2 linked regions of the Nothobranchius furzeri genome follow. The protein of the gene in region 1 purifies or fractionates together with the protein of each later gene. This does not show direct contact. Links are inferred from orthologs where the notes say so. Each region holds a gene or a part of one and is shown on either strand. Other genes may lie near its edges. The genes, in order: atp11c and cell cycle control protein 50A.

Region 1 (3,825 bases):
GTAAGAAAAATGAATGTGCATTATATTTTTCTCATTAGAAATTATTTTTATTAAACAATTTACCAATAGCTCAATCAGATTCACACTTGTATACAGATGTTTTGCTCACATCACTTTTACCCAGTCACAAACTTTGAAAACAGCAACAAAACTGGATCCATAAAGTTATGTTGTGGGAGCAGCAACAGCTGCAACATTCTCAGGCTTTTTAATGAAGCTCTGCATCATCTGACAGATTTATGAATTACAGGAAATTGGTCTAGATGCAAAATCAAGATGCTAAAACGTATCACAATGTGAAATCATGAATAGATGCACTAGTTAATCCTGCTGAGATGGTAATATTCACATGTTATTGTCTTTTTTTCCCTTTAGGGCATAAATATGCTTTAGGCCAGGGGTGTCAAACTCACACGGGGCCAAAATGAAAATCTGGGATGGAGTCGCGGGCCAAACTTAATATTTTTGAAAAAGTGACTGCAAATTTGCACATTTTCTTTATCAACATATATGCAATTTTGAACCTTTAAATTAGGAAACAAACTTATTTCTGCATTAACACTGAATGTGGAATAACCAAATGACACACGAGCAAGTCAGTTTTAAATAAAAGGCATCAGTGGTATTCATTACTTGTGGTATAATCAGCATTTTTAAAATCTATTCAGGATTTATGTTTTCTTGTTTATTCATTTTTCTTATTTTTTTTTCTCCTGTAATACGTGTCATCGCTGCTGTGACGTCTAGCTTTCCCCACTGAGGAACAATAAAGGGATTTTCTATTCTATTCATCTATCTGCAGCCTTTCCACTTCCTGTTTACTGTAGGTTAAATATTTTCTCACGGGCCAACAACAACATAAAAATATCATTTTATCTTAAATGAAAATGCAACATCTCACCTGTTAACTTTCATGTTTTGAAGCAGAAAAAGAGCATAAAACCAAAATACTTAAAGCTCAGTTTGCTCCACTGGTTTACTGTGATGCTCACCTGTTCCAGCCAGATACCTGCATCATGGGGTTGATCTGAGCTGAGGAGGAGACTCCTGTTGTTTTGTTCATCTTCATCATAATAATGACAACATTGGATGACAACAGGTGCTCACATAGGTTTGTGCTGCTGAACATGTCTGAGCAGCTTGACCACGTTGTTGTGTGTCGGGGAGGAAACACAACCACAGAGCCGTGCTGGTTTGAGCGTGTCGCTGCTCGCTGGAGTTATATCAGCTCTGTCTGGACGTTAGTTGGAAAACTTTCTCTTTCAGTCGTGAACACATTACTGAGCGGCTAGAATCTCCGTTTCTGGGCTTCGTCAGAAAACAGCTGAGTGAACTCGGTGCTGAGTGAGAGGAGTGTTTAGTTTGTCCGAGACAGCGGAGCTGCAGACACCGGCAGCAGACGCTGGAAAAAACACAAAGGAGGGGGCGCGTCTGCTCCGCGCTGGCGCCGCAAAGCATCATGGGAGTCGAAGTATTTGCGGTAAAATCGGCCAGCGGGCCAGTTTTAATATATTTTTGATATTTATCTCGCGGGCCACATAAAAATGCTCCGCGGGCCGCATCTGGCCCGCGGGCCTTGTGTCTGACATATGTGCTTTAGGCTTATTGAGTTATGAGGAGACTGTTTTTGTGTCTGATCATTTTTAATTCTTAATGCTTTCTTGTTCCAAAGCCTTCAAGAGGAGGCAGCAGAGACGATGGAAGCTTTGCAGAGAGCAGGGATGAAGGTTTGGGTCCTAACGGGGGACAAGATGGAGACAGCCAAGTCTACCTGCTATGCCTGTGGTTTATTCCAGAGGAAAACAGAACTGTTGGAGCTCACTGTGCGTACTTTAGAGGATGGAGAGAGGAAGCGTGAGGAGCGACTTCATGAACTTTTGGGTGAATACCATAAGAGAGCTGTTCAGGATGCTCCACCGGTAAAGGCAGGTGGCACCAGGTTGGTACTGCTGAAATAATTACATTGATCTGTCTGTCTGTCCGTCCGTCCGTCCGTCTCTAAGCTGAAACTTAAAGCACTAACCTATTTCTTCCTCTCTGTGTTAGGGTCTGTTTTGCGTCGAACCAGGATTATGGTTTTATCATTGATGGAGCTTCTTTATCTATGGTGCTCAATTCATCCTCTGAATCCAACATGAGGAGTTACAAGGACCTGTTCCTACAGATTTGTCAAAACTGTACAGCTGTTCTTTGCTGCCGCATGGCTCCATTACAGAAGGCACAGGTAAGAAATGATCAGAACCATTTGTTTTTGTTAAGTGATCTCACTTGACCTGGTTACATGTGTCTTGGTTTGCCCCTTAGATAGTTAAAATGGTGAAAAGCTCTAAAGGAAGTCCCATCACTCTTTCCATTGGAGATGGAGCTAATGATGTCAGCATGATTTTGGAAGCTCATGTTGGCATTGGTAAGGGCTTCTCCAACCACAAGTAATTGTACATTTTTGGGGCGAATGTATCGCGTCATAATTTTTGTTCTTGGTGTTCCAGGCATCAAGGGTAAGGAAGGTCGGCAGGCGGTGAGAAACAGCGATTATGCTATCCCTAAACTCAAACACCTCAAGAAACTGTTGTTGGCTCACGGCCATCTGTATTATCATCGCATCGCACACCTGGTGCAGTATTTCTTTTACAAGGTAGGAAAACTATTTCTTTGGATAATTTTTTCTTAGGATTGAGAAAGTTTTTGGATTGTCAACAAAAAGTTAATCTGATTTCAGATTAATTTGTTAATTTCACAAATTTGATTTTAATCAAGTTCAGCTGATAAATGAATACAAAATAACAGATTTATTCAGATTTTATACTGATTGTATTAATTTGTTTTTCTGTATTGCCCACAGAATCTTTGCTTCATCCTACCGCAGTTTTTATACCAGTTTTTCTGTGGATATTCCCAGCAAGTGAGTATTCCCAATTTCACACAGAGGTTCAGAAACAGTCTGAATATTTAAAGGAGGTAGAGCTCCTAAATCCGTAGCTCCTAATCCTCCTGAATACCACACTCTTCCCTTCAAGCTTTCTCCCTTACCAGCCCTGGCTTGTTTCTGCTTTGTTGACAAATTACAGAGCAATCAGATTCTACTAGAATATGATGCAATCTTGGTTACGTGTGTGTTACATCAGCCTGTTATGAAATGGAGCACAAAGCATTGCATCTCTAATTCTACACATTTTAGTGCAACATGTTAAAAATCACACCTATAGGTGTTTAGGTATAGCATATAGATATGTGTAAAAGTAACTATGACAGTGTGTTAAAATGGTTCTATGAGTTTAGTCCTCTCCATAAAATTAACCCCTGGTTGCCCCATCCCTCCTCATTACCTCCTCCTGGTCCATCCATCCCAGCCCCTGTATGATGCAGCCTATCTGACGATGTACAACATCTGCTTCACCTCCATGCCTATCCTGGCCTACAGCCTTTTGGAGCAGCGCATCAGCATTGAGGATCTCATTGAAGACGCTGCCCTCTACAGGTGAATGTTTTTCTCATAGAAGACGCTGCCCTCTACAGGTGAATGTTTTTATTTACACTTCATAGGACAATTAAAAGGGTAAATTTAGTTTCATTGGTTTTTATTTGAGTTTAAACTTTCCTGAATGCTCAGTTATATATGTGTAACACCCGAAGATCAGCCCCCAAGATGTTGCATGAAGTGAATCTGACCAACCAGTATTAATGTGGACAATGTAGTACAAAATCAGATCACTTCAAAAATAGACAATTTATTAGAAATAATTGCAAAAGCTAAATGCCCATATAAAAGCTCAGTCTGTGCAGGTTGTGCCTATGACACAGGGCAGGGAGACCAGTTAAAATCCA
Region 2 (4,404 bases), on another chromosome or scaffold:
AAACAATTTCACAAAACATGAAGTTTGAGTTTTTTTTAAAACAATGTCAGATAAAAAGGCAGAAAACTGTTCTCTTACTAGTATAAATGTTATATATATATATATATATATATATATATATATATATATATATATATGTGTGTGTGTGTGTGTGAAACATTTATACTAGTATTTGGGATGCAACGATACCACTTTTTTCCAAACTGATACGATACCAATACTTGGATCTGTGTATTCGCCGATACCAATACTTTTACCACTTACAAAAAATTTTAATTAAAAAAAAGCAATGAATTGGAATACAGGTTTTATTTTCTTCTCTGCTTTCAACAGAAACAGCCTGTGAGGTAGATAAAAAGTAAAATATGTGAATAGAAATCATCACAAAACTAAAATATTAGGTGAACAGAAATGACAAGTTACAGTGAAGCCACTTTCAAGCAACTGCATTGTCCTGATATCGGTTAACTTTTACCGATATCGGTATGGGTGCATCCCTAATATATATATTTATATATATATATATATATATATATATATATATATATATATATATATATATATATATGTGTATATATAATTTATTTCAATTGTAATCAGTGAGCGTGTTATCCATGTCCTTCCGAGCTCAGGTCATTGACCAGAGGCTTGGGAGCTTGAGGGTATTGTGCAGTAGCTCAGCTAGAACCGCACTTTTCTAGGCTGAGATGGCTGATGTTTTGCCTCAGTTCAAAGACCAATAAATGTCCTGCTGCATCGAATAAACACACACAGACATTGATACTGACATAATTTTAAAAAAAGGTCCTTATTTTGTTTTAAACAGGAAAAGTATGAATATATTTGGATTTCACAATGGATGTAAAAACTACTTAAATAAACTAAATAAAAACCAAATACAACAAAGATAGAATTGAATAGAAATGTGGTTATTTTTACTTTTTGTTCTGCGTCTAAACAAACTTTTCATTTGATTACTTGCAATCTGACGTTTGATTTGGTTGATGGCCACATACTTAGTCTATAATGGATTTATAGGTTGTATTTAGCGCAACTAGATGAAAACAGAAGAATTCAAACCTTTAATGTCCGTCTTTCCGGACATTCCACCCTCTAGCGGAATAAATATGTCAATAAGGACAGCGCTCATACAAGACTAAATTCATCAGCACTTTCTGTTGATTTCTTCAAAATAAAACATGCCACTTTAATTTTCTACGGTTTTACGGTCAGTGTTAACAGCATAGTTAGTATAACAAATGAGAACAAGCTAGAAAGTCCTGACGTATGAACCATACTACTGTACTATAGCTGAAACAAAAATAAACATAAACATTTCCGGAGAGCTGTCGCTACGCGTTGACGTCACTATAGCGTTCTATCATGTCATTGGCTCTCTCGCTTCCGGCTTCTTCCTTCTCCAAGCTCACGGAAGACATGAAATCATCAACAAAATGAATCGAATTTAAAGTCGAAAAGGATCGAATTAAGTGTCGGTCTCACTTCTGACGGGATTTCTTTCCGCATCTCTTGCCGTCTAGGGTCTCATTTGACCGTGTAGAACCACCGAGTATCTGCCGGTATCTAACTGTTGTGGATTATTAGGTGCAAAGCCTTTCGCAACCATGATGGCGTCAAGCTACAACGCTAAGGACGAGGACGGACACCACTCGGGCTCTGTGAGCCACGGAGGAGCAGGGACTGCTAAAAGTAAAAAACCAGACAACACAGCGTTCAAACAGCAGAGACTACCAGCCTGGCAGCCGATTCTAACGGCTGGCACCGTGCTGCCCGCCTTCTTCGTTATCGGTCTCATCTTCATCCCCATCGGTATCGGCTTGTATGTGACTTCCAACAACATTAAAGAGTTCGAGGTACAGTTCCTGTTATCTTCTCTTCTAGATGGTGTTTATCTAACTTCTAAAACCACAGCTGGGCAAATTAAATCAGACATTTCTACCCTCGTATGGGTTTCAAATCTAGATGTATGACTTTGTTTTGATCCTAGTATAAATTTAAAGTAACAGCAAAACAGCGCAGACAGGTTCTTAAAAGGGCTGTGTCTCAAATATCTCTACATAATTAATAATTATCCGTTAGTTTAGAATAATTATACACAACCCGTATCTGTTTATTACCCAGAAGGCTGCTTTTACGTGTTTATTTAGATAAATCTACATACTATCAATTTGTTCTGCATTATGGGTGATTGGATATTTTCTTTGCCCGTGATAAAGTCACTATTTGTATCTTAAATTTGCATTTGGGTGGATTTGTATAATTTTTTTCTAGCATAATGCAGTGTTAAACAAATGCAATATACTGAGCTGTAACCTGACATACACCAGCACCACATGCTATGAAATTATAACAAAAACAGAAATGGGTAATTCACACACACAAAACAATCTGGTTACCAAAAGTGTTAAATGAAAGTCGTAGAAAGCAACATTCCTTTTTCCTTTGATGTTTTATTTCTGCTCATTTTCAGATCGATTACACCGGTGTGAATGTGGACAGCCCATGTTACACGTGCGCCAACAACTTCAGCTGGAACAGCACCACGTCGTGCTCCTGCACTGTGAACTTCACGTTGGAGCAGCCGTTTGAGGTGAGCTCAGGTCCTGCACCAGCTTAGATCTATATCGACCCCATGAATAATAAATGTCTTCAGCTTCAATCCCGACAACACTCTCCTGCATTAAAAGAGTAAAGGCCAGCCGTCTCTGTTCTGGCATTGATCATCCATTAGGGTCGACTTATTTTTTTTATAAAAAGAACACTCGAGGTTTGTTTAAAAGCTATTTTAGCATTGATTGCTGTACCTATCAAATATGCAGGCTACCTTTCAGAGAGCTTTGATTTCTTTTGTTGCCTCTTTTTTGAAATAAGTTTGATTAAATTAAAACTCTTTGCCTTCTGAGTAGAAAAGAATGGCTATATTTCTAGTTTCCTTTGAAAATGCAATGTAGTGAAGGCAAGTCAACTGAAATTAATCATCGATCTGTCTTAAAAACTATTTATTACTAAGAGAAGTGTTGTTTATACCAGTGGTACTCAAACTTTTTTGACTGATGTACCCCCTGTGAAATATTTTTTTCAGCCGAGTACCCCCTAATGAGCGCAAAAGCTTTTTTGGTTGTAAGAAACAAAAGACCTTAAATAGAGCACGGTGCCTTCAGTGACTGATTTATTAAATTTTGGAACTGATAAACAAGTACAAAATTCAACCATTTGAAAATAAACTACTTCAAATATTTTAAATATTAATAATCCATTACTAAATGTATTGGAAATATTTTTCATCACTAAAATGTGATTCTAATTAATTAATTGAAAACAGTCACCATATAACTATTTAAAACCATAAGATTACCCATTGAAAAATCCATAAATGTGCAAAAACACTGCGATTTTGGGATAATGAATTTAGCCTACTTCTACTTCTAAACACATTTTATGAACTTTTATTTAATTATTTAATACATATTTTAGGAAAATATTAATTAAATAATTATTTTTTAAAGATTTTCCATGGATACTATTTTTTGAAATGTATGTACATTTTCTCACGTACCCCCTGGAGTTTCTTTACGTACCCCCATTTGAGAAAGGCTGGTTTATACGACACGAGTGCATAACATTTCTGCTGTGATTTGAATTCTGGTTAGGTGTAGGGAGGATTCCTGCTTTGTTTCATATTCAAATCTGGAATCAAGAGTTAAAGCAGCCGATTCAGTCACTGGGAATTGCAAAACCCACTTTATTTAAATTGAATTGGATTTTCTCTTTGTGTAAGCGCTTCGTCGACTTTTCCAACTTTTGAGATGACCGCAGCAGTTGGACCAGATTTAAAACAAAGGCTCGTTTCATCATCTTTTATATTTTTATCGAGTGTTGTTTGTATTCAGTTAACATAAAAAAAAATCCCTGAACAGCTTCTGGAAGATCGGTGAGTTTTGTGCAAATGCAGATTTCACAAGAACTGAAAATAAATTAAGAATAAAATGAATAAAATCTGGTTATTTCTTGGTAGAAAAGGCAGGAGTTGATTAAAAGTATCAGAATAAAGTAAAAGTTACTAAGTGGGCATCAGTCCCAAGATTTCTGAATAATGGGTGTCTATGAAAGGAAGGGCACGTACAGAAGTGTAGCAGTCTGACGGCTCCACACAGAGCAAATCTGATCACTGAGCTGGAACTTTTACAACCAGTTAACTCAACTTTTACAGCCTGCTCACGTCCGTGAAGGTTAATGTTTCCAAAGTGTGTTCGAAATGTCTCAAGTTTCAGCAAATAAATAGTCCTCTTTACAATTCACAGGGAATTCCTCCAGCACTAATAAATGAACTCATCTAAATTCCACAAATGTGGAATGACCTTCCAAGCACTATCAGAACAGGGG

What was found.
Region 2: the proteins of atp11c (region 1) and cell cycle control protein 50A purify together in Homo sapiens (co-immunoprecipitation; 4 studies listed by BioGRID and IntAct, with this or other methods). This does not show direct contact. The link is inferred for Nothobranchius furzeri from reciprocal best matches to the Homo sapiens genes ATP11C and TMEM30A.

Annotation. Positions count from the first base shown.
Region 1 is NC_091741.1:83,723,408-83,727,232, reverse strand, and holds part of atp11c (phospholipid-transporting ATPase 11C), read left to right. Parts: intron 1-1,672; coding exon 1,673-1,939; intron 1,940-2,046; coding exon 2,047-2,224; intron 2,225-2,304; coding exon 2,305-2,407; intron 2,408-2,489; coding exon 2,490-2,635; intron 2,636-2,842; coding exon 2,843-2,902; intron 2,903-3,350; coding exon 3,351-3,478; coding exon of another isoform or gene 3,479-3,482; exon of another isoform or gene 3,483-3,516; intron 3,517-3,825. UniProt on the Homo sapiens protein: Catalytic component of a P4-ATPase flippase complex which catalyzes the hydrolysis of ATP coupled to the transport of aminophospholipids, phosphatidylserines (PS) and phosphatidylethanolamines (PE), from the outer to the inner leaflet of the plasma membrane.
Region 2 is NC_091758.1:36,697,915-36,702,318, forward strand, and holds the start of cell cycle control protein 50A, read left to right. Parts: upstream 1-1,420; 5' UTR 1,421-1,625; coding exon 1,626-1,874; intron 1,875-2,491; coding exon 2,492-2,611; intron 2,612-4,404. UniProt on the Homo sapiens protein: Accessory component of a P4-ATPase flippase complex which catalyzes the hydrolysis of ATP coupled to the transport of aminophospholipids from the outer to the inner leaflet of various membranes and ensures the maintenance of asymmetric distribution of phospholipids.